2 linked regions of the Chlamydomonas reinhardtii genome follow. The protein of the gene in region 1 interacts with the protein of each later gene in a pairwise test. Links are inferred from orthologs where the notes say so. Each region holds a gene or a part of one and is shown on either strand. Other genes may lie near its edges. The genes, in order: CHLRE_12g498100v5 and CHLRE_16g651500v5.

The links.
Region 2: the proteins of CHLRE_12g498100v5 (region 1) and CHLRE_16g651500v5 interact in binary tests that used the Arabidopsis thaliana proteins (3 or more experiments, as listed by UniProt). The link is inferred for Chlamydomonas reinhardtii from reciprocal best matches to the Arabidopsis thaliana genes EIF3E and FUS5.

What each region holds. Positions count from the first base shown.
Region 1 is NC_057015.1:3,273,250-3,288,098, forward strand, and holds CHLRE_12g498100v5 (uncharacterized protein), read left to right. Parts: upstream 1-6,769; 5' UTR 6,770-6,846; coding exon 6,847-7,002; intron 7,003-7,161; coding exon 7,162-8,292; 3' UTR 8,293-9,871; downstream 9,872-14,849. Other genes in the region: CHLRE_12g498150v5 (uncharacterized protein), read right to left, coding at 1-879, 1,011-1,357, 1,579-2,973, 3,176-3,571, 3,707-4,402, 4,524-5,362, 5,570-5,737, 6,003-6,131 and 1 more; CHLRE_12g498050v5 (uncharacterized protein), read right to left, coding at 10,224-10,541, 10,753-10,911, 11,146-11,451, 11,652-11,870, 12,080-12,142, 12,438-12,629, 12,896-12,979, 13,210-13,281 and 3 more. UniProt on the Arabidopsis thaliana protein: Component of the eukaryotic translation initiation factor 3 (eIF-3) complex, which is involved in protein synthesis of a specialized repertoire of mRNAs and, together with other initiation factors, stimulates binding of mRNA and methionyl-tRNAi to the 40S ribosome.
Region 2 is NC_057019.1:1,297,636-1,312,474, reverse strand, and holds CHLRE_16g651500v5 (uncharacterized protein), read left to right. Parts: upstream 1-7,967; 5' UTR 7,968-8,217; coding exon 8,218-8,364; intron 8,365-8,559; coding exon 8,560-8,635; intron 8,636-8,928; coding exon 8,929-9,017; intron 9,018-9,277; coding exon 9,278-9,415; intron 9,416-9,855; coding exon 9,856-9,926; intron 9,927-10,241; coding exon 10,242-10,374; intron 10,375-10,645; coding exon 10,646-10,830; intron 10,831-11,144; coding exon 11,145-11,157; 3' UTR 11,158-11,724; downstream 11,725-14,839. Other genes in the region: CHLRE_16g651600v5 (uncharacterized protein), read left to right, coding at 1-877, 1,101-1,719, 1,850-2,277, 2,387-2,582, 2,722-2,805, 3,155-3,298; CHLRE_16g651550v5 (uncharacterized protein), read right to left, coding at 5,882-6,001, 6,386-6,486, 6,974-7,112, 7,198-7,283, 7,348-7,505, 7,639-7,739; CHLRE_16g651450v5 (uncharacterized protein), read right to left, coding at 13,000-14,743. UniProt on the Arabidopsis thaliana protein: Component of the COP9 signalosome complex (CSN), a complex involved in various cellular and developmental processes such as photomorphogenesis and auxin and jasmonate responses.

The sequences.
Region 1 (14,849 bases):
GCGCAGCGGCGCCGGACCGGAGGCTGCCTCCACGCCATGTGTGGCGGCGGCGGCGGCGCCGTTGTCTACGTCCGGATCGTGCTGAGCGACTGCCGCCGCCAGCAGCACGCGGGCCTCCGGCAGCGCCCACAGCTGCAGACCGCCGTCGTCGGCGCCCAGCGCCAGGCAGCGGCGGCCCAGCCAGGCCAGAGCGTTCAGCGTCACCTTGCCGCCGCCATCCGCCGTCGCCGATAGCTCAGCCAGGCGGTACATCTGCTGCACCGGCGGCGTCGAAGGCACGGCGGTGCCAGCCGCTGCGGCGGTGGGCGCGGCCGCCACGCCGTACACTGCAACTGAGGCCTTGCCGTACAGCGCCGCCAGCAGCGCGGCCGGCGGCGGCGAGGCCGGCGGCGCGCCCGAAGTGGCGGCGGCGGCCACCTCCTCCACGTGCTCCAGGCGGTGGTGCGTGTCGTGTTCATGCTCGTGGCCCTCCTCCTCCAGCGCCTCGTCCACGTCATCCGCCCAGCGCAGGTAGCGCAGGTCCGGACCGCCCGAGACTGCACCGGTGTGCGCGGCCACCAGGGACCACGGTCCAGCGGACCCGGCGCGGGCGCCGCCCGCGCCGCTCGTCGCGGCCTCGCCCGGCTGCTTGGCCGGCTGCTCCACCACGATCATGCCACCGCCTGCAACTGCGACGGCCAGCCATGGCCGGCGCGGATGCAGCGCCATGGCCGTCACCGACAACCCGGCCGGCGCGCCCGCACCGCCGTGCTGTTGCTGCTGGTTGTGGTTGTGGTGGTGCTGGCCGTGCTGGTGACCGTGGCCGCTGCTGCCGGCGGCGGGGGCCAGGGCTGCGGCGCCGAGCGCCTGTACCGCCAGGCCCTGCAGCTGTGCACCGACCTGCATTGGCGACAGACATGGCAGCAGCACGGGGCCTGCTCAGTCCACCAGGTAGCACTGCTTAACACACGCAAAGCCTGGCACAAACAGCACAAAGTGGCAAGCCACCAATACCCGCAGCAGTCACTCACGTCAATTGGCTTGGCCTGTGCCAGTGAAGGTCCCAGGCCTGGCTCCGCACTGCCCGGGTCAAGGTTTGGGCCGGGCCAACGAAGCAGCCGGCCCTCGCCGCCGCAGCTCAAAAGGAAGAGCGGCGGGCCCGACAGCGCTGCAGCGAGGCGGCTGGTGCCGCTGCGGCCCGCGCTGCCGCCTGCGGCGGCCGCGCGGCCACCGTCACTGGCCCGACGCTGCTTGCCGGACTGCGCCGGGTGAGCTGCATCCGCGTGTGCGGCACCCTTGGCGCCTTTAGACGCCGTGTCGTGCGAGCCCCCCGGGTGCTGCTGGGCAGCGGTAGCGTCGGTAGCCGGCGCCGCACCTCCTGCACAAATGGAACGACGCAAGACGTGGGTGGGTTGTATGAGAACAAGGTCAAGCTAACTACGCTGTTACACCCCAGCAACCACAACGTAGCCGCAGCCTGCATCACGTGACAGATCCCCCCCCCCGCAGTCTTCAGTGCATCCTGTACCGCTTTTCCAAACATCCCTGCAACCCCCCCCCCCCACACACACACACGGCAGAAGCAAACTAAGGACTCACCCTCGACCGTGGTGAGGTCGCCCGCAGAGCCGGGCCGCACGCGGCCCTTGAAGCCGCCGCCCGGCACGGGGCCCTTGCTCACGATGAAGCTGGGCATCTGCGCGCTGGCGCCGCTGCCACTGGGGCGGGTGGTGGCCGGTGAGCCCGTGTGCGAGCGCCCACCGTCCGGAGTCATGTGGCCGGGCAGCGCGGACGGCGGCGGCGGGGCAGGCGGTGGCATAGGCGCAGGGGGCGGCGGCGGCATGGGCGGCGGCGGCAGCGGCGGCGGGGCGGGCGGCGGCGGCATGGGCGCGGCAGGCGGCGGGGGCATGGGCGCACCCCCAGAAGCGCCCTGGCCGCTGGGGCCGGGCCGCCCGCGGGACGGCCCAGCAGCCGTCCTCTGGTGCTGTTGGTGGTGCTGGTGCTGGTGCTGCTGGTGCTGCTGCTGCTGCTGCCCGTACTGGGGTGCCACGTGACCGTACGGCTGCTGCTGGTGCATACCATGTGCGCCGTACGGCAGGCTGTTGAAGTACGGTGCGTGGTGCGGCTGAGGCATGCCGCCCTGGAGCGGAAACTGCTGCAGAGGGTAGCCCTGGCCGTAGGCCTGCGGCGGGTAGCCCTGCGGCGGATAGCCCTGCTGCGGGAAGGCTGGTGGGAAGGCCGCCATCGGCGCCTGCACATGCATTTGCATGTGGGTGGCCATGGGCATGGGCAGCTGCTGCGGCTGCTGGTGCTGCTGGCCCGGATGCGGGTGTTGCTGCGGCGTCCTTTGGCCGAGCACGCCCTGGTGATACGGCGCACGTGTGGCGCCGCCGGGCTGCTGGCGGCCCGCCGCGGCCTCCGCAGCGTGCACCGTCGCGGCCTGGGCCGCCGGGACCGGCTTGGGCGGCGACGTGGTCGCGGCGGCTTTCGCCTCGGGGCTGGACTGCGCGGGCACAGCAGCAGCACCCTGAGGCGTCGAAGTGAGCACATAGTGCTTGGGTGTGCCCTGCCGCGAGCCCTGCTGCTGCCGCTGGCCCTGCCCATGGCCCTGGCCGTGGTCCGAGCGAGAAGGGCTGTGTCCGTGGCTGTGATGGCCGGCACCCTGCCCGGGCGCGGGCGCCAATGTTGGCGCCACCTGTGCGCCCTGAGACGCGCTGGACTCCTTCAGGCGTTCCGGACCGCCGCGCGAGTTGGGCCGGGGCGGCAGCTGTTGCTGCTGCCCTTGTTGCTGCTGCCCTTGCTGCTGCTGCTGGGCCGCCGCCGCGGCTGCCGCCGCGGCCGCCTGGTGGCTGACATGCGCGCTGCCAGCTGGCGGCGTTACCCAGGCCAGCTGCGTGACGGGGCCCGAGTGGCGCACGCCAAACACGCGGCTGGTCTGGGTCTTAACGTCCATCAGGCCCACACTTCCGTCCGCGCAGCCAAACGCCAGGTAGCCTGTAGGTGACGGCGAGGAGGCGGCCGCTGGGTCAGCACGGGAACTAGCATCAGCCCACTAAGCGGCGGTGGCCGGCATGCAAGGCACAAGAGCTGCCATCCCGCGCTGTGCCCACCTCGGACACGGGCATAGTGCCGCACCTGCTGCGACTGCTTCCCCGCATCCCCTCCGCCCTTCACCCTTCGCCCTGCCGCAACTCACGTGAGTCCACCGGGTGCCACGCCACCACCACCACCTGGTCGCGCACGTCCTTCCACAGAAGGCTGCTGGGCCAGGGGCCCTCCGCGCCGCCTGCCGCCGCCATAACGGCCGCCGCCGCCTCGCCGCCCTTCTTCCTTCCAGAGCCGCCGGCCTCCGGCGCACCATTGCTGTGCACCTCAGCTGCAGTCTCGTGCTCGTCGACGTGCTCGTCAGCAGCGGCGCCCTCGGCATCAATTGCGCCCTGCTTGCGCGCGTGCTTGGCAGGCTGGTGCGGGTCGTGGGCGTGGGCATTGGCCGGCTGAAGCTGCGGCCGCTTTGCCAGTGGGCCGGGCGTCAGCGTAACGGCACGTATGGTGCGGTCGCCGCAGCCGACGGCTAGGAGGCCGGGGAAGGGGCCTGCAGGCGGTGCAATGGGGGACAGGTGACGAAAAGCCATGCGACTGGATCGAAATCTTGCATACGTGGCTCAGCCAAGTTTTGCAAGCCCAAACCCAACCGGCTGGCCGCACTCCTGTTGCAGTCCCAACTCACCCTTGAGGTCCAGGGCGTGCGGGTAGCCGCCCAGTCCCATCAACCGCCACCACACGGCCCCGCCGCGTGGCAGCACCAGCGTCGCGCCGGGAGGCACCAGCGTCGGGCCTGCCGCCCGACCACCTCGCGCCGGGCTGTTGCCGTGGCTGCCGCCCGCCGCCGCCTCGTCGTACAGCACGGCCTGCTGCTGCGGCGAGGGCCGGACGCGCCAGTCGGAGCACGTGTCGGCACGGCCCGCCGCTAGCTTGCCGCGTGCGCCGCCGCCCGCTGCCGCCTTGCCATCGCCGTGGCCCTCCGAGTGCTCGCCGCCCTCAGACTCGTGGCCGGGGCTGGCGCCATGCTCCTCCGCCCCGGAGTCGTGGCCCTGCTCGCCGGCTGTAGCAGCAGCGTTGGCTACGGGTGCGGCGGCGACTGCCACAGCCGTGCCGCTGGCGGCTGGCTGCAGCTCCAGGTCCACCACCAGGAACGCCCGGTCCTGCGAACTGGTTACCAGCCGCACCTGCGGCAGCAGTAGACCAGAAGCGGCCGGCTGCGCCGCCGCGGCGCTGCCGGTACTGGCGGTGGTAAGCGCGGTGGTGGTGGCGGTGGCTGCGGCAGTGGCAGTGGTGGCCTCGTGCGGCACGCGCATGGCGTGCAGCGTGAAGACGGTGCGGGCGTGGTGCTTCAGCCGCGTTGCCAGCGTAAACTTGCCGGTGCCTGCGGGGCGTAATGATTCACGTGCCACTTATAAGTGCATCGTGCGACAATACATGTGGTCTCACAGAAGTCCCTAGCGCAAGATACACAACTAACCACCCAACACGTGCCTGCCACTCACCCACAGACACATGGTAGACCAGCACGTGGCCCCAAGGCGCCGCCACAGCCACGCACAGCTCGCTGCCGCTGCCCCCCACGTCGCAGCCCGGCACCAGCGCTGACGGCACCCAGGCCTTGCGCGACACCGCGCCGCCGGGGCCGCTCGGGCCGCTGCCTGGCTGCTGGCCTGCAGGCGGCGGAGGCAGCCGCAGAGTCACCAGCGGCTGCGGTGGCGGCGGCGCCGCCAGCACAGGCGTCGCAGCAGCGCTACCATCACCGCCAGCAGCGGCGGCTGCAGCCGCCTCGGCCGCGGCTGCTGACAGGGCGGCTGCGGCTGAGATGGCGGGGAGGCTCCACACCTTGGCCTGGCAGTCCTCTCCGCTACTGAGAATCCACAGGTCGGGCGCAGCAGCAACAGCAGCTGGAGCCGCTGCCGGCTCACCGGCCGCGTCCTCCCCGGCCGCGCTGCCAGGCGTGGGTGCCGCTCGTGCTTCCTCTACCGCCCCCGGCGCCGGTGCGCTGCTGCTGCCGCCGCCACCGGCGGTGGTGACGAGCGGTAGGCCGGCCAGCTGCAGGCTGTGCACACCACCGCGGTGGGCCGCCGGCAGCGTCAGCAGCACCGACGCCGACGCCACGTCCACCAACACGATGCTGCCATCGGCCAGCCCTGCAATCACGCGGCCGCTGGCCCCGGCGGCGGGGCCGGTGACGTTGACGGCGACCAGGCACTGGACGCGGCTGGGCAGAAGTGGCGCCGTGGAGCCCGCGCGCGTAAGCGGCTTGCGGACGCCGGTCTCGGGCACCCACAGCACCAGGCCGCCGGAGGCATCGCCCGCCACAAACTGCAGCACCGGCGAGCTACGGCATTGGAAGGGTGTGGGCAATGGAGCCGTGTTGGGGCCGGGTGACCACAGGACATTCACGCGATACCTACCAACGCTTGAGCATACCACCTCGGAAACTCCAGAGTGCAGACTGCCCCCCTATACCAGTCCTTGGCCATCAAGGTTACCGTACCGCAAGCCCCCGTAACCCTGCGAGTGTCCGAACCGACATGAGCCCCACCTGGGCAAAGCCACCAGCGCTGTGACCTCGGGCGCCTTGCCCTTGCGGTGGGTGCGCACCGGCTCCCCGCTGACCATGTCCCAGCACCTCAGCGAACCATCTTCGCAGCCCGCCGCCACCAGCGGGCGACCACCGACGCTCTCAGGCGGCAACGCCACACATGTCACTCTGCACGACAGGCCCGCGGCAGGGACACGCTTGCGAGCAAGTCCTGAGCGGCATGTTGGGGTTCCACTACAGTGGCTGTTCGCTATGCCAGGGCCAGGACGTTGCTGGCACGTGAGGACATGCGCCACCAGATGTGTGCGAAGGCCGCGTCGCGGCTTCAGCAACACGCAGGCCGAGCGCAGGCAGCAAATTGCATGTGCTGCCCGCAATCATCCCGACCCACCCGCTGCCCACCCACTACCTTGCAACCCAAGGCTGTGCGCACCTGCTCCCGCCCGTGGGCAGCATGCGCTGCACGGTGCGGCTCTGCGCGCAGGCCACCACCACCGCGTAGTGGCCGCCATACGCCACCAGCTGCTGGCTCGGCAGCACCGCCACCACCTGGCTGCTGAACCTGTGGGCATGTGAGGCGCATCAGTGACCTTACCAATGGGTGTGATGTGGTCTGACATGTAGGGGCTACGAGCTATGTGGCATAGCGCGGCGCAATCGGCGGTTGACAGTGCGTGCGGCTGTGACCCCGGCCCCTGCTTCCGGAATGCGGGTTTGCGGCCCGTGGGCGCACTGGCTTGAACAGGCCTGACACTCTAGCCCTTGCACCACTTGCAAAACGCATCAAGAGTACAGGAGCAGCGAACGGCGTGGGCAAAGCACGGACGCTGGCTCCCGACTCCCGACTCCGCCTACCAGTTGGGGGAGGGCGGCAGGACCACCGCCGACGGAGCCGCCATTGTCTCGTGATTGGCTGCGCTGTTTCTGGGCTCCCGCAACCCTCACCAGAGTCGCGTAGGCAAGCGCAGAGAAACGCAAGAGTGTGGCGATAGAGATCACGTCATTTCCCTACAGAGAAAGGGAAATGTGCCGATGCCCTATCTATACATACACCTAACCTCTTATGTATTAGTTCGGAGTCCGAAAGCCCGTTTTGAGCGGGCCAGGCCGATGGGCACTCGGACCCCCATCCGGCACAGCGCGAGAGCGGGCTGCGCACCGGGGCGTAGATCGCCCGTTCCTTTGTCATTCCCGCAGCCCCCACCCCATAATTGTTTCACAGCGGACTGGTCAGGCCTTAGGACTAGGCAAGGGGCGTAGCCGCCGCCGAGAGAAAGATGGCTGCCACCAACTATGAGCTTTCTTCCAAGCTGGTCCAGTATCTGGACCTGCACCTTACGCTGCCTATTATGGAATACCTCCAAGAGCGCGGCCTTTACAATGAGGACGACATCCTGCGCGCCAAGCTGGCGCTGCTGGACAAGACGAACATGGTACGCGCTTAGTGTTTAGATCTGGAGACCTGGCACTTGGAATGAGCTATTGGACAGGCTGGGGATGCCGGAAGCGGGAAGGGCAGCTCAGCGAGTGCAGAGGCCATCGGCCTTTCCAGTTTGAGTCCGGGTCGCTGAGCGAAAAATTCGATGTTGTAGGTGGATTTTGCGATGGATATCTACAAGGGCCTAAACGGCGTGGACGAGGTGCCTGCGGAGATGAAGGACCGCCGCAGCCAGGTGGTGGCGCGTCTTCGCCAGCTGCAGGCGGACGTGGACCCCATTATCAAGTGTCTGCAGAACAGGCATGTGGTGGAGAAGTTCCGTCAGGATAAGAGCTTCAACCTGCAGTTCCTCCAGGAGGAGTTCCAGATTGGCGCGGAGCACGTCGAGGCGCTGTATCAGTACGCGCGCTTCCAGTTCAACTGCGGTAACTACTCGCTGGCGGCGGAGCTGCTGCAGTCTTACCGCACGCTCTGCACCAACAGCGAGCGCAACATCAGCGCACTGTGGGGCAAGCTCGCTGCGGAGATCCTCATGCACGAGGCGGTGAACATCCAGGAGGCACGGGAGGACGTGTTCAAGCTGAAGGAGGTCATCGACAACCAGACGTTCGCCCCCCCGCTGGTGCAGCTGCAGCAGCGCACCTGGCTGCTGCACTGGTCCCTGTACGTCTTCTGGAACCATGAGAACGGCCGCAACGACATCATTGACCTGTTCCTCTCCCCAGCCTACATCTCCGCCATCCAGATCAACGCGCCGCACCTGCTGCGCTACGTGGCGGTGGCTGTGGTCATCAACAAGAAGAAGCAGCGCAGCGTGCTGAAGGAGCTCATCCGCGCCATCCAGCAGGAGTCGTACGAGTACTCGGACCCAGTGACCCAGTTCCTGGAGTGCGTGTTCGTGCACTACGACTTCGACGGCGCCCAGCAGAAGCTGAAGGAGTGCGAGGCGGTGCTGGACAACGATTTCTTCCTGGCGGCCTACAAGGACGAGTTCATTGAGAACGCGCGCCTGTTCATCTTCGAGACGTACTGCCGGATACACCAGTCCATCTCCATTGCGCTGCTGGCGGAGCGGCTGGGCATGGACCAGGAGGCGGCGGAGAAGTGGATTGCCAACCTCATCCTCAACGCCAAGCTGAACGCCAAGATTGACTCCAAGTCGGGGACGGTGGTGATGGGCACGCAGTCGCAGTCCGTGCACGAGCAGCTGGTGGACAAGGCCAAGATGCTGTCCGTGCGCACCTACGTGCTGGCCAACACCGTGGTGGGCAGCGTCAAGCCGTAAGGCACCGCGGCGAGCAGCAGCCGGGGGAGGAGGAGCAGCAAGCAGGTGGGAGTTGGAGCCATGGCGGCGGGCGGGATGGGGTTGGCGGGGGCGCGGGGATGCATGTGGGCCAGGGGGTCGTCTGGGGCTTGGTATTGGCGGGAATGGGGTGGAATAGAAAGGCAAGCTCTGGAGGTGAAGAGTGCTGGATTCCTAAGGGATTGGTAGATGGGGTAGCAATTGCATTGGGCAGACGGCTGCTAGGCCCAGTTCCAGCGGTGCTCCGCACGCGGCATGGCAAGGAAGGGGACCCGCGGCCTGGTAACGGACGTGCAACAATTCGCCGGTTGATACGGAAGAAGCCCTGGGAACTGCGAAGAGGTTCGAAAGGTTGACGTGACGAGGAATCACTTTACCTCAAGCTCTGATCGCCATCCATCATTCCCTTTTGCCTTGTAGATTGCGGGCTTGCTTGTGGACGACAGCGGTGTGCAGGGCGCGGTCTGCCGCTTCGGCAGGCGATTCACGACAGCAGCGAGCTTTGAGTTACGGGATTCCGTTGCGGGATGGGCAGCTTTCTACAGCAGCAAGCGTGGGAGCGCTGGCGACGGCTGCTGCACGGATCAGACCAGGAGCGCTGGGCGGAGGGCGCGGCAGCGGGTGTGGGACAGCGCTGGCGAGCGGCGTTCGAAGGTGCTGATGAGATGAGCAGTGACGTAGACGGGCGACAGCGGCTTTGCAATACAGTGAAGGGCGGTAGGAGCGCGGCGGCTGGAATTTGCAGCAGCTGCACGATTATCCCATGGGCGGGGCGCAAGGGCATGCTTGTTCAGCGACGTGAGACGGGGGGGTCGCCCCCTTGGCAGTGTGTTCGCGCGCGCCAGCAGCAGCGCGTGCCGGGGGGCTGTGCAGCCGCGGCTGGCACGGACTCGGCAACGCTTGTTCGGGTGAGCTCATTGGATGGGCTGTCTCGTGCTAGGGAGGCGGTGCATTCGCGTTCCCGTCGGGCTGGTGCGCTGCAGGCAATGGATTTCCTGGGGCTAGGGTCGGCATTGCCCGCTGCTGGTGGCTGCAGAGTGTACCTGGACGGGCACATGCTTTGGATAAGCCTGAGCGTGGACCGGCGTGGGGGCAATCGGCGTTGGCGTAGTGAGGAGCAGATAGGTTCTCGTGTATGCAGGCAGTGTGGCAGTGCGGCAGTCCGCACACGGGCTGTGGATGTAGGTGTGAACGCTGTGCCAACGAGACTGAAACTACGTAGGATTCGGGCTAGACCTAAGAGGACCATTCGGGGGAATAGGGGTCGGGACAGAATTTCGCAAGCGCAGGCAGGCATTTTCGCTTTCTTGCAATTCGGGTGTTAGCGGGTAGACATGGATGAGACGAATGGGGTATCTAGCGGGTAGAACTGGATTATGTGCGTATGATGGCATCACCATAGAGGCAAGAGTAGCCTCTGCAAAACTGTAGCAGGCTAGATGCACTAGTGCAGTGGAGTGAGGCATGTGATGCAAGGCAGGTGCTGCGCCCGGTTTTGGTTCGTTGCCGCCGGGGCTGGGGCCAGCGCCCGTTTGTGCTGCGACACGTTGTTACATGAGGACTGGCATTGTCTGTGTCGGTCTGCTCCTGCATTCATATGCGGTTATGCGCGGTGCCGGCGGTGGTGGGCATTACTTGCCGGTGCGGTCTGAGACTGTGTCGCCGCCTAACTGCTTACTGGACTCCCACATATACTTCAGTTCGGCGCGCAGCACTACCCCTATCCATCCTGCAGACACGGAGTCGGTCAGAAAGCAGAAGTACAGATCCCGCCAAGGAGCGTAGGACCCGCCGCCAACCAAGCGCATTCTATCCCACCTGAACGCTCGCTTGACAATCGACACCATGTACTCCGACCACATAATCTTACTCCTCCAGCAATAACCCCACAGCCCCGCTACGCCCTTGTCTTCCTAGTCATGCGGCCGGTCCAGCGGCGCGGGCCGTATCGCCGCCGCCAGCCGGTCCAGGCTCTTCTCGATGCGCGCCCGCAGCCCCGGCTCGCCGCACACCACCTTGCCCGCCCGGTAGTCCACAGCGGCCTCCACGCCGTCCACGTCCAGCCGCACCAGGCCGCCCGCCTCGTCCACCGCCGCCGGCCCGAACTGGCCGCGCAGCAGCGCGCCAATCAGGTGGAGCTCGGCGGCTGCGGCTGCGGCCTCGTCGCCGGCGGCGCGCGCCGCCAGCATGGCGGATTCGGCGCTGGTGGCCTCGGGCGGCTCGCCAATGGACTGTGTTGTAATGGGAACGGAGCGATGGGAAACTGCGGGCTCAGAGCGTGCTGGAGCAAACATGAAGTGACCCCAGATTGCAGGCGCCCTGCCCTCCATTGCCGTCCCATGCACCCGCTACATCCTCAACACCCGCCCACCACGCCTGGCACCCGGTGCCCATTCAAAAGCGCCCGCCAGCCCGCGATCGCGTCCTAGTCCGCCCCCTCACCTGCAGCACTACAGCCACCACCGCGTCCGCCACCATGTCGCCCTGCCGGCCTCCCTCCCACTCCAACACCACGTGCGACACCACGCCGCTCGCGTCGTCCGCCGGCACGTAGCGCACCGTCACCAGCTCGCCCACCACCACCGCCAGGCTCTCGCCACCCTTCACGAAGCATTGCGAAGCGGAGGACGACAAAGCGGGAGGGCAGAGTCAGTGTGAAGATGCGAGCAGGCTAGGGTGGGTACCTGAAGTACAGTCCTATTGCTCCACAGATCCACAGCTGTGTGAATGCCGCCAAACGGCATTTACGCAATCACAGCCTCACAGCCATATCTGCGCCCAGCCCCGCACCACACGCCTGCACCCACGCCTGCACCCAGCGCCACCCACACCCACCTTGCCGCCCTCCGCGTCCGGTGCCGTGGCCACGGGCAGCGTGCCGGCTCCCTCCACGCCCTCAAACATCACCTCCAGCGCCAACCGGATGGCGGTGAACGGCACGTCCACGCTGATGGCCTGGCGCTGCGTGACACTGCCCTTGAGCAGCTTGGTGTATCGCGGCAGGTCGGAGGGCGCCAGCAGCTGCGTGGCGAAGCCGCCGCCCTGCCGCACAAGCACGCCGCGCACGGCCGCGCCCTCACGCGGCGGCTTCTCGCCCAGGCGGCCCTGCAGCCGCACGCTGCGGTCGGGCTTGTGCTCCACCTGCAGCAGCGGGGCGTTGGCCGGGCGCATGCACACACATGAACAAACACATACATATTAACGAAGATGTACTAATATTGCATACATGATGAGGCCTAATACGGCCTGGTTGCTCAAATCTCGCCACACGCCCCCCCCATCACCCCCAATCCTGCCCCAGCCCCCGCCCCCAAACCACGCCCCTGCTACAGCCCACTCACCGCCACGGTCTGTGCCAGTATGGGTGTGTACACCTCGCGCGCCACCCCCGCCGCCTTGGCGCCGTCCTTGAGCGCCTTGGCCAGCTTGCGCATCTCGCCGTACTCGCCGTGCACCAGCACCACGTGCGGCGGCCGGACCGCGTCCAGGAAGCCGGACGTCTGGTCGTAGTCAGCGTGCGCGGAGAAGGAGATGTTGTGCACCGCGATGCGCAGCGGGACCTGGCGGCGGTGGACATGATTGGGGAGGCATTGCCGTTAGTACTGTGCAAGCCCGACGCCCAGGGCCGGAGCTAAGTGATGGGGCATTGGGGTCTTGCCCAGCGTTGCCGCACGCTAAGTACTGAACGAGCGCGTTGGCTAGGAGGGGGCGTTCGAGGTGGGCGGACCGGGCCCTGCCCCCGCGAGGTCTCGGGCCAGGCGGCACCCACCCTGCGGCCCTCCCGGGTGGTGATGGAGCTGGGGCCGCCCAGGATCTCCTTGGCCAGAGTGCCCTGCGGTGGAGAGGGCGGCAGCGGCGGCGGTGGTGAGCTAGGCATCGTGAGAGGTACGTATGGTACCGAATCATAAGTTATGCCGGCTGCAAGCGGCATGCCCGGAGCACCGTGACGGAAGCCTCTGTCCAGCACCCGTCCCCGTCCACTCCCTTAGGCCCTGGCACTGCACCCGCACAGACGCGCAGACGAACAAACACATAGACGTGAACGCCCCTGAGCACTACAGCGTGCACACCGACGCACGGACGCACACACACGCCCCTCCCTAAACTGACAGCCCGCCTCTCCTCACCTGCACCGCGAAGTCGCAGATGATGCAGGTGTTGCGGCTGTCCTCGCACCAGGCCTCAAAGAAGTCCCGGCTGGCGCCACTCTGCAGCCCCGAGGGCGTGGCCATGATGACGCAGGGGCCGCTGTAGTCGGAGATGAAGTGGGCGGGGTTCTTGAGCGTCTGCACATGCCGGAACTTGAAGGGGTTGCGCTCCTGAAGGGCCGCGACGGGACGCAGAGGGGCAAGGGAAAGGGGGTGGAGACATCGTTAGCGCGTGGAGCGGTCGGAGAGCGCTGGACGAGGGCAACAACTGCAACAGTAAGTACATAATGGGAAAACCGCTGCGGGGCTGTCAGCACGGGTTGGGCCAAGCCGCAGGCGCCGCATGTCGAGCTACCGGGCGCTGTCCCTCAAGGGGGCCCCAACCAGCCCCCTTGGCCCCCTTTGGCCCCGCCCCCCTTGGCCTCGCCGCTGCTCACGTGGAAGACCCTCTTGATGTCGTCGTTGAGTGACTCCACGTACGTCTGGTACACACCAAGTGCCTTGCTCATCATAGAGCTGGCCTGTGGGGCGGGTGGGTGGGGTCCATGCATACTACTTTGTACGACGATTTGGGGGGGGGGCCCGGCCGGAGAAGAGTGGAGGAGGTTCTGAAGGAGTAGGCGTTGCTACTGGGTGCGTTGTTGAGAAGCTAGGCAGCAAAGATTTAATACATGCCAGCCCTTGGGTGCCGCCAGCAGTCGGAGTGCGCATTGGTGAGCGCACAAGCGCACAAGCGCACACACACACACACCTGGTATATGGGTATGCCGCTCAGCTCCGACTTGTGCGCCTCCCAATACTCGTCCAGCAGCAGCAGCAGCTCCTGCGGGAGTGGGGGCACAGGCAGGCGGCGTGGCCACACGGCAGGTAGATTGCATTGGGTATGAGATGGGTAGGGATGGATGCGCGGGACTGGCAGTGCGTGCGCGAGACCACAGCCCGCCGACCAGCCATGGCTGCTTTGACAAGTATCCTCCTCCCCCAGTTCCCCTCGCGCTCGCCGGCTGCCCCACCTGCGCGCGCCCCAGCGCCACCACGGGCATGATGACTCGGCCGCCGCGGTTGATGGTGTTGCGGATGGTGTCCAGCAGCAGCTGCTCGCGCTGCAGGCGGGGCAGGTGCCGGCTGGTGCCGTACGTGCTCTCCACAATCACTGCAGCAAGCAGCAGCAGCAGCAGCACCGCAGCACAGCAGCACAGCAGCACAGCAGCACAGCAGCAACAACATGAGAATTCGCATCGCAATCCACTCCACGCATGCGCATGAACAAGGGCAACAGGGACACTGCTGGCCCACCATGACCCGCACCGCCCGCACCCCGCCACCAAGCCCCGCCGGGGCCCCTACCCTGTGTCCCTACCCTCCACCACTCGCTCCAGCCGCCGCCGCCGCCACCAGCTCACCTATGTGCGGCTTGACGGGCGGTATGTCTGCCGCGGGCAGGTGCCTGTCCGGCAGGCGGCTGTAGTCGCCTGTGTAGAGGCACCTGCAGCCCGCCACCTCCACCAGGAACATGGCGGCACCCAGCACGTGGCCGGCCCGGTACGGCGTGATCTGCAGGCGCAAGGGCAGCAGCAGGGGGGATTGTGTGCGCAAGCCTAACGAAACACGGTAGGTCCCAATAATCAAGGTATAGCCGCCCGGGGGGAAGAAAGGGGAGCTGGTACGGGCGAGCAGTGCAGCGACAGAGCGCGAGCAGCAGCCACACCATGCAGGCCACACGGCGCGGATCAGCGCCTCGGGACCTGGCGCTGATCCGTGGCGTGTGATCCGGGAAGCGGCCCGCGCATTTGTCCCAGCGTGCTCTTGCTGCACCCCACCCTCCCCACTTGCGCTGCCCCCACCCCGGTGCTGCCCGGCCCCGCACCACCGACTGACGCGCCCACCGACCCAGCCACCAACTCGCCCACCCAACCACCACCACCTCCCACCTCCCCGCTGCCCCCTCGCCCCCACATCCCGCCCCCCGCCCCCAACACACACACCCGATCGCACCTGCATTCCCGCCACCTCGATGGTCTGGTAGAAGTCCACCACCTCGATGCGCTGCATGCTGGCCTCCAGGTCGTCCTCATTGAACAAAGCCTCCTGCAGGCGGGGAGGCGGAGGGAAAGGGGAAGTTCGTTCCGGAGGCCAATAAGAACCCGAGGAGAAGTGGAAGCAAGCTGTTTGCACCGTTTCCATGATCATCAAGATTGTAAAGAGAAAGGGGGCGGCAGAAGGGGCATCGCGGCGATTTGGTGTGGGGGGGGGGGGCGGGGTGGGGGTGACAAGGACATAGGGCGCCCTGACAGCCTTCGTGAGTAAAACCCGGCTTCCCTCTCCCTCCTTCCGGGCCGCCACGGGCGCCCTCCCCCACCTCCCGTAAGTCTTCTCGCTGGCGACTGCCGC
Region 2 (14,839 bases), on another chromosome or scaffold:
ATCTGCTGCAGCCGGCGGCCGCGTCAGCATCCGGCGCAGCAGGTGCTGCTGGCGGCAGCAGTAACGCTTTTGCAGCTGCTGGCAGCGATCGTGTCAGCAAGGGTGTCGGCTGTTTGCCTGTCTATGCCACGCTCCCGGCGGACGTTGTCCGGGCCCGGTACGCTCCGGGCAGTCCGACAACCAGCGCCACGTTCACGTACATAGGCCCAGCGCGGCCGGCGAAGACTGATTACACCACTGGTAGCGGCGGCTATTCCAAGTCTGCCTTCCACCCCTGCCCCAACGACGTCCAGCTGGCCCTCTGTGGCGTGCTCGGCTCGTCCCTGCTGGATGGCGCGACGGCGGCGGCGGCCGCGGCCGCGTCGTCGGCGGCGGTCCTGGCAGCAGCGCATTTGCAGCCGCTCCTTACCGCCACCGCATCAAGCATCGCGACGGCTGATGGGCATGGTCGTGGTCGTGCAGGCGGCACAGGCGGTGGCGGCGGCGGCGGCGGCGGCGGCGCCAAGGGCCAGTGGCCGCCAACGCCGGGGCTGTATTACTTCCTGGACAAGGAGTACCGCGCCCACTGCCTGGATCACCATGACATGACCAACCACAAGTGCATCAAGAACGGCCACGTCACGCACAGCCTGCACCGACTGCTGGTCGTGCGGTGCATTGGCGTGCGGCCAGAGGACGCGCGTGCCGGCGGGGCGGCTGGCGTGGAGGAGGGCGCGGCGGCGGGGAGCGCTGGGGCAAAAGGCGGCAAGGGGGGCTGGGGCGGCAAGGGTAACACGTCGGGCGGAGATGATGGCTTCGGTGGGCAGATGGTGCAGGTGACGGCGAAGCGGGACAGCGTGGTGGCCACCTTTGAGTTCGGCAAGTCCTGGCCGTGCATGTGAGTAGTGCTCGCTGCGGCGGCTGCATGCCCATGCATACTGCATGCGGGCTGTGGTCCTAGCGGCGCAGGGTTGATGTGGGCAGTGCTTTTGGCCTTTGCCTTGGGTGTGCGGTCACAAGCAAGGCGTCGGCCGGTTGTGCGCACGTGCCAAGTTTGCATGTAGTGCTACTGCGCTTGCCACATGTGTCCTAAGCGCCCTCGCTCGCCTTTGCCTACGCAGCAACGTGGTGCGACCGCCGGGGCAGGCTCCGGCAGGGGCCGGCAGCCATGGACCGGCTGCTGTAGCAGTAGCAGTGCCGTCTGCGGCGGAGGAGCATGAGCAGGCGCCGGCAGCAAACGGTACCGTCAGCAGTAGCAAGGCCTGCCGGCCGGCCAGCACCTCAAGCAGATGCCGGCGGGTCCGGCAGGATGCGCCGCCGCCGTCAGCGGTACCGCCAGCCTGCGCCGCTGCACCGGCTGCCGCAGCTGTAGCGGCTGCTACAGCCGCCGCGACCGCCGTGCTGGCTGCCGCGATGGGCCCTGCTGATGCTGCTCCCGGCATGTGCGCGGCGGCCGAGGGCGGTACGGCGGCGGCGGAGGTGGCGGCGGAGGTGAACGAGGCTGAGCACCGCGCCAGCCGGCGACGGCTTGTCCCTACCACCGCGGCGGCTGCTGGTGCTTCCGGTGACGCCGCCGGTAGCAGCAGTGGCGGCGGCGGCGGTGACAGCAGCAGCAACGTGGAGGCTCTCAGCCAGGCGATGAAGGACGCGGCGCGGCTGCGCAAGTGCATCCGGACGTTTCTGGATTCCGAGGAGGACGTCGCCGCCGCCATGGAGTACTTCAGGACGCTCATCACCCGGGTGCGTCCAAGCTAGCTAGGTCATATTGCAGCACGGTACAGGGCGGAGTTATTGTATCCTTTTCTTGACATTATCGGCGTATGGTATTGTTGACGTATATGCGTATCCTTCCTGCACTTGCTCACGACAGGAGTTCTGCGGCGACGTGAAGCGCATCCTGAATATGCGCGGCGGTCATCATAAACGTTATGGCATCATGAACTCCATTATCCACGAGGTCCTGGACCTTGAAGGCCTGTTGTCGCCGTCGCCGCCGGAGTCGCCGACGGCAACGCAGACGGCGCAGGCGGCGCAAGCGGCATCGCAGTCGCTATCGGCTGCACCGCAGCCACCGCCGCCGCCGCCGCGTGTGATGTCGGACCGCATGCAAGTCAAGGTGGTGGCGGTGTTTGAGGTGCTGTTCACCACGGTCGGCGGCGGAGGCGGAGGAGGCGACGGAGGCGGCGGAGGTGGCGGCGGAGGTGGTGCAGGCGGGCTTGGGCCGGCCGACGCGATCAAGGAGCTGTGCCTTCAGGAAGACTTTGAGTGTCATGACACAGCGCTGCACACCTGCTGCAGGTCAGGCCGCGCGACTTGGTGGCCGGGTGGCGATCGACTTGATCACCTCACGCGGTGCCTAGCTCCCAAAGGTCTAGTTGATTATCACGCCTCATAAGTGCGCATGCAGGTATGGGCTGGTGCGCGTGCTGGAGTGGCTGCTGCCGCGCGTGGACGCGGACGCGCTCACGGCCAGCACCAAGGACGGCTGGTGCCTGCTGCACACGGCGGCGCGCGCGGGGCACGGCCAGGCCGTGGAGATGGTGCTGCGGCGCTGTCTGAAACTAGGGATGTTTGAGCCATCAGCGCTGGAGGCCGGCACCTGGGTGAGTTACGGAGTACAGCGGGCGTGCCGCCTGCCCGCATGGAGTGCAACACACTCAGCCACCCTGGCGGCCCGTCCCACCGCCGCCCTGAGGGCATGCCCCATCTGGCCAGCCACTTGTTCCATCGTCGCCCGTGCAGGTGTTGCTTTGCGACATCTCGCACATCAACAAGCACTACCGCCGCACGAATGCCCGCGGCGTGCTGGACGCGGCCATGGAGCGGGTGAGTGGGAGCGAGCGAGCGGGCTGGTGCGTGGTGTGGCGGCGGGCGTGCCGGCAGCCGTGTAGTTTTATCGGGTTCGGATGTTGGGCGGCTCCACGGGTCCCGCCAATACCAGGCCACGTTCGCCTGCGTGCCTCCGCAATGCACGAGGCCAATTGACGCCCATTGCCGCCCAGCCAGCCAGCAACTCGTCGGTACAGTAACTCCGGCGTTCGACCAGCCGCGCACTCCTGCCCTGCCGCTGCCAATTGTATGCCATTTGTTGGGTTCTGGGAATCAGCTGCACCCTACGGGACTTCACCAACTTGCCTTACCACTGTCCCATCACACGCCCATTGCCGCCCGGCAGGTGTGGCCGGACCCCTCCTCGCGCCCGCGCGTGCGCAACGACGTGCAGAAAGATACACAGCTCAAGGCGCTGATGACTGGCCTGAGCCTGCGCTACCTGCGCATGGGGCGCCTCAGCCTCAGCGGTATGGACACAACTGATTAATGAACATCGTTATGATGCCCATCGTACCTACCAAGAGAGACACGGAGCTGCACGGAGCAAGGAAGGAAGAGGCACATGCGGTATTCCGCGGCGATGTCCCCGCACGGGGCCAACGCAAACAGTGCGTGCAACAGGGGTACATGCAATTACGTTCCGCTATGTATGCTACGCAAGCCATTATGTGGCTTCCAATGCTATGAGCATAAACGCTGGTCGGAGCATACGTAACTTTCGAACGGAATAAAGGCATGTCAGCACGTCAGCGCGCGTGCTGTGTAGGGGTCAACCCTAGCAGCGTGTGACACACAACTTGGGGGCTTCTGTCGTATGTGTTAGTTGCTACGTACTTGCTTGCTCGAGGTTGCTCACGATACTGCAAACAACATACCTTGCACAGTTCTGAGGTGTGTGGACTGCGATACGAAGGACAACGGTTTCTTTCACACTGTTCTGAGGCACAAGCACAGGCCTGCTGCATAGCCACCATCACGTACACAATGTTGCAATGCTGCGTACCTACGGTCGCGCAGCACGAGCCAAGCCAGTAGATTAGGCTGCAAGATGCGCAGGCGTGTGTGCGTACGGCAGTGTTACGGTCCTGCATTGTGGTGGTGCATTGTGCACGTGGCGCACTACCGTATCGTGCGCAGGTCTTTGGTTTGAGCGCTTCGCTGCATTCCATGATGGGGTTGAGTTGACAAGCTATTGAGCTGTCTGATTTGGAGATGTCGCACATGATTTTCGCTTGGCATTCTGTTGTTAGGGCGCAGCCGTGTCTTGTGCCGTTCGGCCGGGACCCGTGCATGCGTCTCTTACGGTACACGGCCTTTGTGTCACGTGTCTCCGCCGCCCGACCAGGTCTGCTTACACATAAGACTCGCGGGGCTTTACCCCTGCCAATGCGCCGCTGTGTTGGAGCTGAGTCGGTGGCCGAGTCGGGGGTGTTGTCTTTGCTGAGGGGAGCGCGGTCTCCCCGGTTCGACAAGGCGGAATTGTTCACCATCTTTTGCGGTGCCTTTGCGGTGCCTTTAACAGTCGTAGCTGTCTTTTGTAGATACACACAGGACAGCAACAGGCAGGAGGAGCCGTAGTTGTTCACGTGCTTGCAGTTGTTCGGTTGGCCGTTGAACCATGCTTTCATTGGTTGCAAGGACAAGAAGAGACAGTCATATGAAAGGGACATTCATGTCAGGCCAGGGAAAACGCCCTGCCCTGATGCGCAGGGACCTGTCAAGCACCAGATGAGCCTTGCGCCTGTGCGCAGCTGTGCGCAGTGTTGCCTTTGCGTAGGCGGTGGAGTGTGTTGTCCTCGGATGTTTACCGTGCAGCTCTGCAAATGGCGGCTGAAATGGCGCTCTCTATTGGGCTGTAGGCGCGGTATTCACGAAAGCGGAGAGTACCCCTGTCACGTACCACGGCTAATGAGAAGGCAAAAGCGGCCCTGGCCAGGCGTCAGGCGCTGACCCTGGAGGAATGTGGGCGGCATGTGTTGGAGGAAACTGGACGCGACCCTGCCTGTGCATCCGGTGGATGGGAAACGCATGACGGTTGAGTGTAGGTGGATTGACAGGGCTCAGGCGGGCTAGGCGGGGCTCAGGCGGGTTCGGCGGGGTCTAGGCTGTCTGTGCGTACCGCGTAGCTGTGGGAGGTAGACTGCGAACCAGGGCAGGGTGGTTTCCCCTTGTCTGGCTTGAATATCCCTTTGGTTGCATTGTCCCTTCTTGTAACCTTCATGCAATGTGCTTGCAATACTTCAGGCGCTTGGGGGCGTCGGCCAGGGTCGGCCAGGGTACAATCCGATCGGCGTACTGGTACAGAAGGTGGTCGCTTGTACTCGCAATTTTGTTACAAGTGACTGCCTCCAGAGCCTCCTCACCGCGTCTTCGTGGCACTTGAATGGCATGCACCGTGGAAGAGGATTACACCACACCCAGTCCGCTATGACCTAGCAGCCTACCCGTGTCCGCCCAAAACGCTCCTCGTCCACTACCTTGGTCCTTGCGCGGCAGTTCCACACCGCCTTGTGACATCCGCCTAGAACTGCAACCTGAATAGCTTTCCCATTTGAAAGCACGGATTAACCCGTACACACGCCATAGGTGACACGGCACGCCACACAAACGCGTTCGAAATCCGCTTGAAACCGTTAGCAGCCTGACTTGAGACCCAATCGCACTGTCCGCGTCTCCGCATCCCCAGCCTTGAGACGCACGGCGTGGCCCCGCCAACAGCTCGTTGCACGCAACCATAGTTTTACGAAACAGGACAGCGACAACGGCTGCTCCGCGCCGGGGACCGCCCTGACGCGCATCCCCACCGGGCGCAGCCATACATTACGGTCAGCCCGCTGCCGTGGCAGGCCTAGGCCAAGGGCGCACCGCTGCAGCTTCTGCGTAGTCCCAAACTCAGCCGCTCGCCCACCAGCGCTGTGCCCGCTTCGCCGCTAGCTCGCCAGCCGCTCCGCCTCTCAAACACCACCTGCCGCCGCACCAAAGCTCCTCCACCACAGCCACCGCACCCGCCACACCGACTGCCGCTGCTGCCGCTGCTGCTGTTGCTGACATCGCCGCCGCCGCCAGCCGCTTAGGGCGCGCGCACAGGGCCCACGGGCGACACGGGCGCCTCCATGAAGGACGCGCCCTCGCGGAAGTAGTTGACGGCGCACGCCTGCTCGCCGTTGGCGCCCACGGGCACCACGTCCACCTGTTTGTGCGTGCACGTGCGCGCGGGCAGGCGGGCGGGCAAGGTTGCGGTTAAAATTGCGCGGCCCATCTGGCATATGGTAATACGGCTATGCGTGTGCGTCTGTATCTGTTTGCTGTTATGGCACCGGCTCGGCGCATGGTTTGAAGCTTTTGCTGCCTTCAAGTCCCTGTCGTGCGAAGGCCCTGTCCACGTCATCACCACCTCATGTGGCTCCCACGCAACCCGGCGGCCGCGGCCCTGCTTGTGGCCCGAACCCCAACCCCAATGGCCACGGCCATGCAGCCCCACTGTTCATCCAGCTCTCGTGCCTCGACCTGCACATCCCTCCCCCTGAATCCCCAGGGCCGCCGCGCCGCCTGCTCCCCCGCCGCGCGCGCTGACCTGGATGCGGGCGCGGCCCTTCACCAGCTCCGAGCCGTCCGCGGACAGCTTGTACTCGAAGATGCGCGGGTGCTTGAGCACCAGGTCGGGAATGCCCGAGTCTGCAGGAGCACAGCAAAGGACAGGCAGCAAACCCGGGCTTGGTTGGTGCCGGGTGGGAGTGCGTACAGCTGTTCTGAGTGGCAAGCCGCATGGCTCCGTGACGGCCAGGCCACCCCCGGGCGGACGTGCAGGATGCTGCTGAGGCAGCATCGGGCTACGTTGGTGTAAAGCTGTGGTGTGCTCGCCACTGATGCCGCCGTGAACACGGGCGCCTGCCCTGCCGGTTCGGTCGCCTGGTCGCCCTGTTCGGTCGCCTAGTCATTCCCACCCACGCCCGTCGGTGGTGAGCTGTCTGCTGCGCAACCCTGGGCTCCTGCAGCCCCAGCTTGGGGCGTGTGCCCTGGCCAGGACCGCTGCATTGCCCGCCGCACTGGCGCTGGCCCGTCCGCGGCCGTGTGCCGTGCACGTGCAACCTCCAAAACCCTAACCCCGTTCGGCCGAGCGCCCGACCCCAGCTGCACACCCCAGCCCCCTGGCTGGCCTCACCCGGCACGCCTCTCCGCTTCAGGTAGTCCACCACCGACTTCAGGCGGGTCTCCGGGTTCAGGCCCAGCAGCACAACGCTGATGGACGCCATGTTGCAAATCTCATCCTGCTTCAGGCCCACACTGGTCAGGTAGTCAACCTGCGTACCCCGACCAAGACGCGTTAGCAACACTTCTTCCAGCGAGACGCGTCCATAGCGTCGCGAGGGGTCAACATTCACTCACCACGCCCTTGGCGCGCTCCTCGGTGGTGCGCAGCATCCCCTTCATAGTGCGGTCCACAATCTGCTCAATCCAAGGCTTCTCCCAGCCTGCATGCAGATGGATGTTAGCACGTCGCGCTATTACGCTAAAACAGAAGCGCGAAAAACCTACCGAGCGCAAAGAGCATCCGCTGCACCTTCTCGATAGAGGAGGGCAGCTTGTAGGGATCCTTCTCAGACCATGGCAGCGGCAGCTCGCCAGGGGTAGTCTTGGTGATCACGGTCTTAGTGTCGGGGCTTTGCTGGGTCACCCGCACAACGATGCTCGCCCTGCGCCGCACGAGCGATGGCCACGTCAATACCGCCAGCAATGCAATAAATCGGCTGAAACTTAAGCTGATGCAGTGACGTGGCCGCGGTGATCAGGGCGGGGCTGCGACAACGCCTGGTTTGCCCGCCGCACCTCTGCGACTGCACCGGCTGGGGCTTCGCAAATAGCTTCGACTGCGTGCGGGAAGAGCACGCCACACCTAGGCCTTGCCGGCCAACCAGCATAGCGGACATACTTGCGTTCTGGCCCTAGGTAACTCCGCTTGAGGCTTAAGATGTCGCGTGGTACGTTTCCCTCAGATCTATGAATTGTGCCGTGTGCCAAGTACGCCTAATTAAACATAAATGCGTGCGTCACAGTCAAGCACGGTCGGGAGAGCGCTCGTAGAGCGAGGGGGGCCTGCACTCATCATGCGGTCGGCACGCGAGGACCCTACGCCATTCCGCGTGCACAGCTTCATACTGAAGAGTTTGACTTTAACATAAACATTTATGCCCGCGCCAATAGAATTGCCCATAAGCTTGAACCGAGGGTTCTGAAGTTCAGCCAGCATTTCTCCTTTAACTACTGCAAGACTTTCATCGGATAGGTCCTCGTCCATGCTGCAGTGATAGGCAGGGGAGAGCTCCTTGGTCTCCGGAACTAGCGGGCAGATCCCGCTCCTACGTCTTTAGCTGCGCATTTTGGAGGCACTAGGCGAGGTCTGTTATCATGGACCAGGATGCTAAGATTCAGCAATATGTGCTGCTGGCGAAGGGCCTCCGCGGGCGAGGCCTGACGGACCTCATCGCTAAGGCAACCGGGGACCCCGCTGTGTTTGGCTTCGGCGAGCTGTTGGATGTGCAAAGCGTAAAGGAGGTGAGTTTCGCTGGCGATTTGCCATGGAGGGGGCATGGGCCCGCACACAAGGGCCATGGAGGGAAGGAGTGGGTGCACGGGTGGTGCCGGGTGTGGGTTTCGTGCGGCGTGTCAGGCGGGGCGAAGCTTTGTTGGACGCCGTCCCCTTCCTCAGCTGAGTCTCACAGTCGTGCGCCGCGCACATATACTGCGCAGCTGCAAGGAACCGACCTGGCGTCCCACAATGCGCTCCTACAACTCTTCGCATACGGCACGTGGTCCGACTACCAGGGTGAGACGCACGCGGGTGTGGATGGGGACTGGTGGTGCCTGCCACGGAATGGAACGGTTGCTCCGACCACCACATGTGCATGCGCTTGGCGCGTGCCAAGGCATCCGTGCGGTTGTCCATGCCCGTCTAGGCCGAAGAGGTATTATCGAGGGGTTTGAAGTGGAGCCGTGTGTCAAGCGTGCTGCGGTCAGCCGCCGTTCTGTGATGTGTACGTGCACGTCTCGCATTGTTACGCACGCGTGTCGATATCGCCTATAATGCCTCTCACACCTCCCACACCTCATAACCCACAGCCAACGCGTCCAGCCTGCCGCCGCTGAGCGAGGCGCAGGCGCTCAAGCTCAAGCAGCTGACGGTGGCGTCCCTGGCCGCGTCGGAGAAGGTGGGTGGGTGTGCGGGCAGAACTTTTCAAGGCTTGACGCATCCAGAGTACAGAGTAGGCAGCTGCTGGTCCTGTGCCTCCCCAGTCACCATCATGACTCCCGCATCTATGCCTGCCCCTGGTCGCGGGAGGGCCCACTTCCCCCTCCCTCCCCTCCTGCCGCGCCGCCCCCCCCCGCGTCTGCTATAATACTGAATTACTCTTTCTGGCTACGCCTTCACATCTTATATAGTCATGAATGTAACCCCCCCCCCGTGCAGGTGCTGCCATACAGCCAGTTGCAGTCCGCGGTGTCCATCAGCGGTGTGCGCGAGCTGGAGGACTTCCTCATCAACCACTGCTTCTACGCCGGAGTCATCACGGCCGGCAAGCTGGACCAGAAGCAGGCCTGCCTGCAGGTGGGCGCGTTGGGGCGGGGCGGTTCGGGAGCGCGGGGGAGGGGACGTTTGGGGTTTGGTGGCAGAGGCGGGCGGGCGGGCGGGCTGCGGGCGACGGAAAGCGAAGCAGCGAGTCATGCAGGGCGGGGGTTAAGAGGGGCGTGGTGGCAGGGGCGGAATGACGCTTGAGTGAGGGTGGGTATGGGGAAGATGCAGCAGGGTTGGGGCGACGGGCTGGGGCGTTGGGTTGGGGCCACGGGCTGGGGCGTTGGGCGCTGAGGTGTCTGTCCTCCAGGCGGGCGGGAGGTGATAATTTGTGCGGGGCACGTGACGGCACGGCCGTGCATGCTTGGCCTGCCCGGGACCCCAGCGGACCCCTGTCCGACGTGGCCCGGGGCCGTTCGGATGCAACACCTGCTCCTGCCGTCTGACGGCCACTGCCTGCCTGCCGCCGGCCTCAGGTGCACGACGTGATCGGTCGGGACGTGCGGCGTGAGGACCTGCCGCAGATCACACAGCGCATGGCGTGCTGGTGAGTGCGTGCCACCTGGGGGGGAGGAAGGGCCACCTGGGGGGAGAATGGGGCTACGGCATTCATGGATGCGGCTGCTAGCTCTCAAGTTGGCGGGTGGGCCAGGTACAGGTGCCCGCTCATGGTATATTCCGTATCGGATATCGCTGGGGGGGAGACGAGCGGAGCAGGAGCCGTGCAGTGCACTGGGGTTCGCCGCCCAAAGCAAGTCCAGCGCGACGAAACCTGCGGCCGCTTCTGACGACAACGCTACTCGACACACTACAACACAAACCAGGACGAAACCATGTGACGTTCCTTAACGAAACATTACAGGATCGCGGCGGGTGATGAGCTGCTCCGCGCCATCGAGGCGCGGGTCAACTACGCGACCGCCACAGCCGACGCGGCGCGGCAACACCGGGAGGAGCTGGACGCGCGCATTGAGGAGGCCAAGCGCAACATCAAGGTGCGGCAGGGATGTGTGAATCTCTGCTCAAAATTCCATCGTGGCCGCTGCGTACCCAGACTTACCCAGACTGGGCTTCTGGCTTTGGAACCGACTCCCCCGCGACCGCCACTACCTGGTAGTCCTGCCTGGAACCCTCATCCCCCACCCGCCCACCCCACACCCCACCACCACCCCCCACACACAAACACACACCCCACATCCCACACCCCACCACTCACCGACACACCACAACCCCCCCACACCGCCATCCCACATTCCAACGCCTCAGGCCGAGGCGCGCGCCAACGACGCGCTGATGGACGAGGGGCTCATGATGGGCGGCTTGGACATGATGGACGAGGACCGCGTGGGCACAGCCGGACTGGGGCTGGGGCCGGGCGAGCGCGAGGAGCGCATGATGATCATGGGGCCGGGCGGCGCGCGCGGAGAGCGGGCGCCGGGGCGGCCCAAGAGGTGAGCGAGAGCGCAGCAGGGGATGTGTGTGTGTGTGGGGGGGGGCAGCAGCGCAGCAGGGAGCGCAGCAGAGGGCGCAGCAGAGAGTGCAGCAGAGAGTGCAGCAGGGGCTGGAGGCAGTGGGGCGATGGGGTGGTGGGGCGGAGTGTGACGTGGGGTCGGGGTGTTGGGGGTGCGTGGAGGCGCGAGTTCTTGTTGCCGTGAATGCTGTGGCGGCGTAAGATGCGCTTCGGGGGCTGCTGGTGTCGCTGTGCCCACAGACGGTGTTTGCCACAGACCGTACTGACCCTCGGGTTGTGTGTCCCTTCCCACAGCAGGCGGAGGTAACTGGGCAGCAGTGCTGAGGAGGCACGCAGACTCGCGAGAAGGAAGGTTGTGGGCGGCGCAGAGCGCTGCGTTGCACCCGCGCATGTGGGCGTGGGAGCTGCTGGGTGCGGCGCCTAGGCATCTGGGATGGACGGGTAGGCGCTTGCTTGGATTTGTGAGCGCCGGGGTGGCTGGTTTTGTTTATGGCTGGCCGGCTGGTTGGAACCCGGAAAGGCAGGTTGAGAGTGGCAAGCTGTTGCTGCGAGCGAGGGGGAGCGCGCAGTCACCGGTAGTGCGCAGCCTGCGGCAGTTGTTGAGTAGGCGAAGCAGGCTGAATACGCAGGAGTGAGGCAGGGGCCACAGGAGTGCAGCTTGAGACAAGGGGCTAAAGGACTGCAGGGCTGGAATGCCCCCACTACACACGTTCACGATTCTGCTCCTGAACCTGCTGGGTGTGTGCGTACCGTGGCGATTGTGTTTATTGGCACGTGTGGGTCAGGGCACACATCGCACGGTACTGGTGCCGCCATGACGGTCGCCGCACGACAGCTGCTTTAATTCCATGAATGTACGCAAACCTGGGACTAACATTTGAGCGAGCCACCTCGGCGCGTCCTGGGCGGTGGAGGGGGGGGGGCAATCCTGTCAATTGACTCAGTACCCGATCAGCCGATCTCAGTAAATCGACGCTCGGGAATCAGTCGGGATGTACCCGAGTCTGCAGCACCTCCTTGAATACCGTACATCTTCCTCTGTTCCTCAAACACGGCACGGCACGCACCCGCTTGCTATGTGTCGTCAGCTCTTTCGGCGTGTCCCGGCCCACACAGGGCAGCAATGCAAACGCCAACACACAGAAAGACGCTGATGCCATTCGACTTTCCTTATGTTCACCCTTCGGCAGCAACCGCACAGCAATACCTTGACAACCACATGCCATTATGACGGTTGCCTATATATCAACTGGCACGGCCTTCGCAGCTATTTCTGTCAGCTATTTTTGTGCCTACGCAACCCCTCTTTCACAGCTGCAGCTCCAGCGACACGGTATATGCGCCGTAGAAGACGGGTGTGGTCACTAGCGCCTGGTGGTGGGAGATAGCTGTAAGCTTTCCTTTTTGTGTCAAGGAGGTGAAGGAGCGCGAGATTGGAGGTGTCAAGTCGTTTTTGACGGGTTGTAGATCCCATCCTGTTGGCAGCCCTGGTTGCATATGGCTACGGCCCTGGCCACCTGGGGCGGCTGGATCAGGGACGCGGCAACGTGCATACGGTAACTCTGCTGCTGAACAAATAGCATGGCTTGCTTCCTATCTCGCAGTTGGCACAAGCTTGGGCTCTACAGATACCACGGTACGGCCAAGTAAGCATCACGCAGAGTACATGCACCAGGAACATGCAACAGCAACATGATAGTTGACACCAACTCCAACTTTGTGACCTCAGCCCCCTGGGCCCTCAGCTCCTCTCGTGCACAGCGCTTAATGCCTGCATGGCGCGTCTTCTTCGCCACACCGTGCCAGGCAACCACCAACACGCAACAAGCAACGTCACACACCTGTATCCCTTCGTGGCGTTCCTGACGAATAGCCATAACCGTCAGAATCCGCGCTACTCCACGAACCTTGCCCTGTCAACGCAACCGAATTCGACTTTCATGCAGCATGCCACGCCATTCCCTTTTATTCTGTGTCCATGCAGCCGCTTACTTAGATTCAGGAAGTCAGAAGGCTACGGACATGGTGCTACATGTTCCCCATCGACATGGACCTTTGTTTTTCCCAACGCGCCTCCGGACTCCAAGGAGTTAGTGGGGCCACATGGACTTCGACGATGCAGTTGCTGCAGCCCATTTCCAATTTCCTCTCACAGCTGCAGCTGCAGCCCCTCCACCGCCTTCTCCAGGTCACTGCGCGACATCTGCGATTGACGGCCGCGCATCACCAGCAGCTGCTGCACCTGCGGCCGCCGCCCCTGCACCAGGCGCCGCAGCTCCGCCTCCACAGCAGCGGCCTCTAGCTTCGCGTTCCCATTGCCCAGTGCGGCGCCCGCAAGGCCCGGGCGGACCCGGTAGGAGGTCTCGCCGGCAAACACCCGCACATTGATCAGCTGACGGACACCCAGCCGCTCCTTGAGCTGAGCCCATGCAGTCGCAGGGGCCTGCGTGATGCCAGCTGCCGCCATCCCCAGGTTAGTGACCAGCAGCGGCGTCTTGGCCTGCGCTGGGAAGGCCACCGCCTGCCAGGCGTAGGCCAGGCTCACGAGCAGCGGCCCATCCGCTGCCGCGGCACCGCTACGGCCAGCAGCTGCGGCGCCTTTGGCCGCTGCATGCCAGGCCGCTGCCAGCAGCTGGTCTGCCTCGCGCTCCGACAGCAGCACCACCTCCCCGCCCGCCAGCACCAGCAGCCAGCCCACCGGTCGCAGGTAGTCGTTCAGCGGCTGGTCATCGGGCGGGTCCGCGATGGCGTGCAGGTAGTTCTGGGTCACGTACACCTTGTCTGACCAGGGTACAGCGTCCATGGGCTGGGTCGGGTCCTGGCTGTCCAACCAATCCACCGCTGTAGAAAGCGGCTGCAGCGTGCCGTGCGCGGTGGCTGCTTGCAGCTGCACCAGAGTGGAGGCTGTGCACGCGGTGGAGTATGATGGCCAGTCTGTCTCCAGCCGGGGCTTCTGCTTCGGCGGCTGCTTTTCTACCTCCTGCTCCTCCTCTTCCTCCTGCTCCAGCTCCCGCTCACACTCCTCGTCCGCGCCACTGCCGGCGCGGACGGAGTGGCCCTCGCCGTAGCGCGCCGCCAGCTGCTCAAGCTCATCTACGATCTTCGCTGCTGCTGCTGCCGTTGACCCAATGCAAAGACTGCTATCAGCATCGCCGGCTGTTGCCGGCCTGCCGCGACTGCCGGCGGCAGCCCGGGCTGCTGCGGCACAACTGTTGGTGCTGCCACCTGCGCCACTGCCACGGCGTAGCCGCGCCTGCTTCGCGGCCGCCGCCACCACATTGCCAACGGGGTGCGGCGCCTTGCTGCTCGCGTAGAGCTCTCGCAGGCCCAGCACCTCATCCTGCACAGAGCGCTCCGGAGCGCCGAGGGTGGTCGCGAAGTGCAGCCCCTGCGCCGCCCACTGCGCCACGCCGTGCAGGTTGGCGTCCACGGTGTTGCCCATCACCCACGCCAGCACGTCGACAGCGCGAGGGCCTGCGGCTGCAGCAACCGCAGCCGCTGCGCCGCCAGCTGCTCCGGATGCTGCGGCGTACTCCACCACGCGAGCAGCAATGTCAGCGGTTGCAGCGAAGCGCAGTGCCTGGCCGCGGCCCAGCTGCCGCAGCCGCCCCGCCGCCTGCATGAGCTTGTCCTTGCACACGCGCGGCCCCAGCGTCAGCAGCCCGACCGCGCTCCGCTGTAGCTTCAGGTCCGCGCCACGGCAGCGCGCCTCATCATATAGCACGAAGTTTTCGTGCTCCTGCAGCGGCGAGCTGGCTCGTGGCAGGCAGCGGCCGGTGTGCTCCAGTACCACCCAGCCGCGCGCCGCCTCATCAAAATAGGTGACGCCGCGGAAGCCAAGCTGCTGCAGGCGCTGCAGACGCGGCCCAGCTAGCAGGAACACAGCAGCGCGCCTGGGGGACGGCGGGCGAGGCAGGAGCGACGGGAATGAGCAGTTGTCAGGACGTGCGCATAAGGTTACAGCAAGCCTTGCGGCCCGCCGGCAGAGG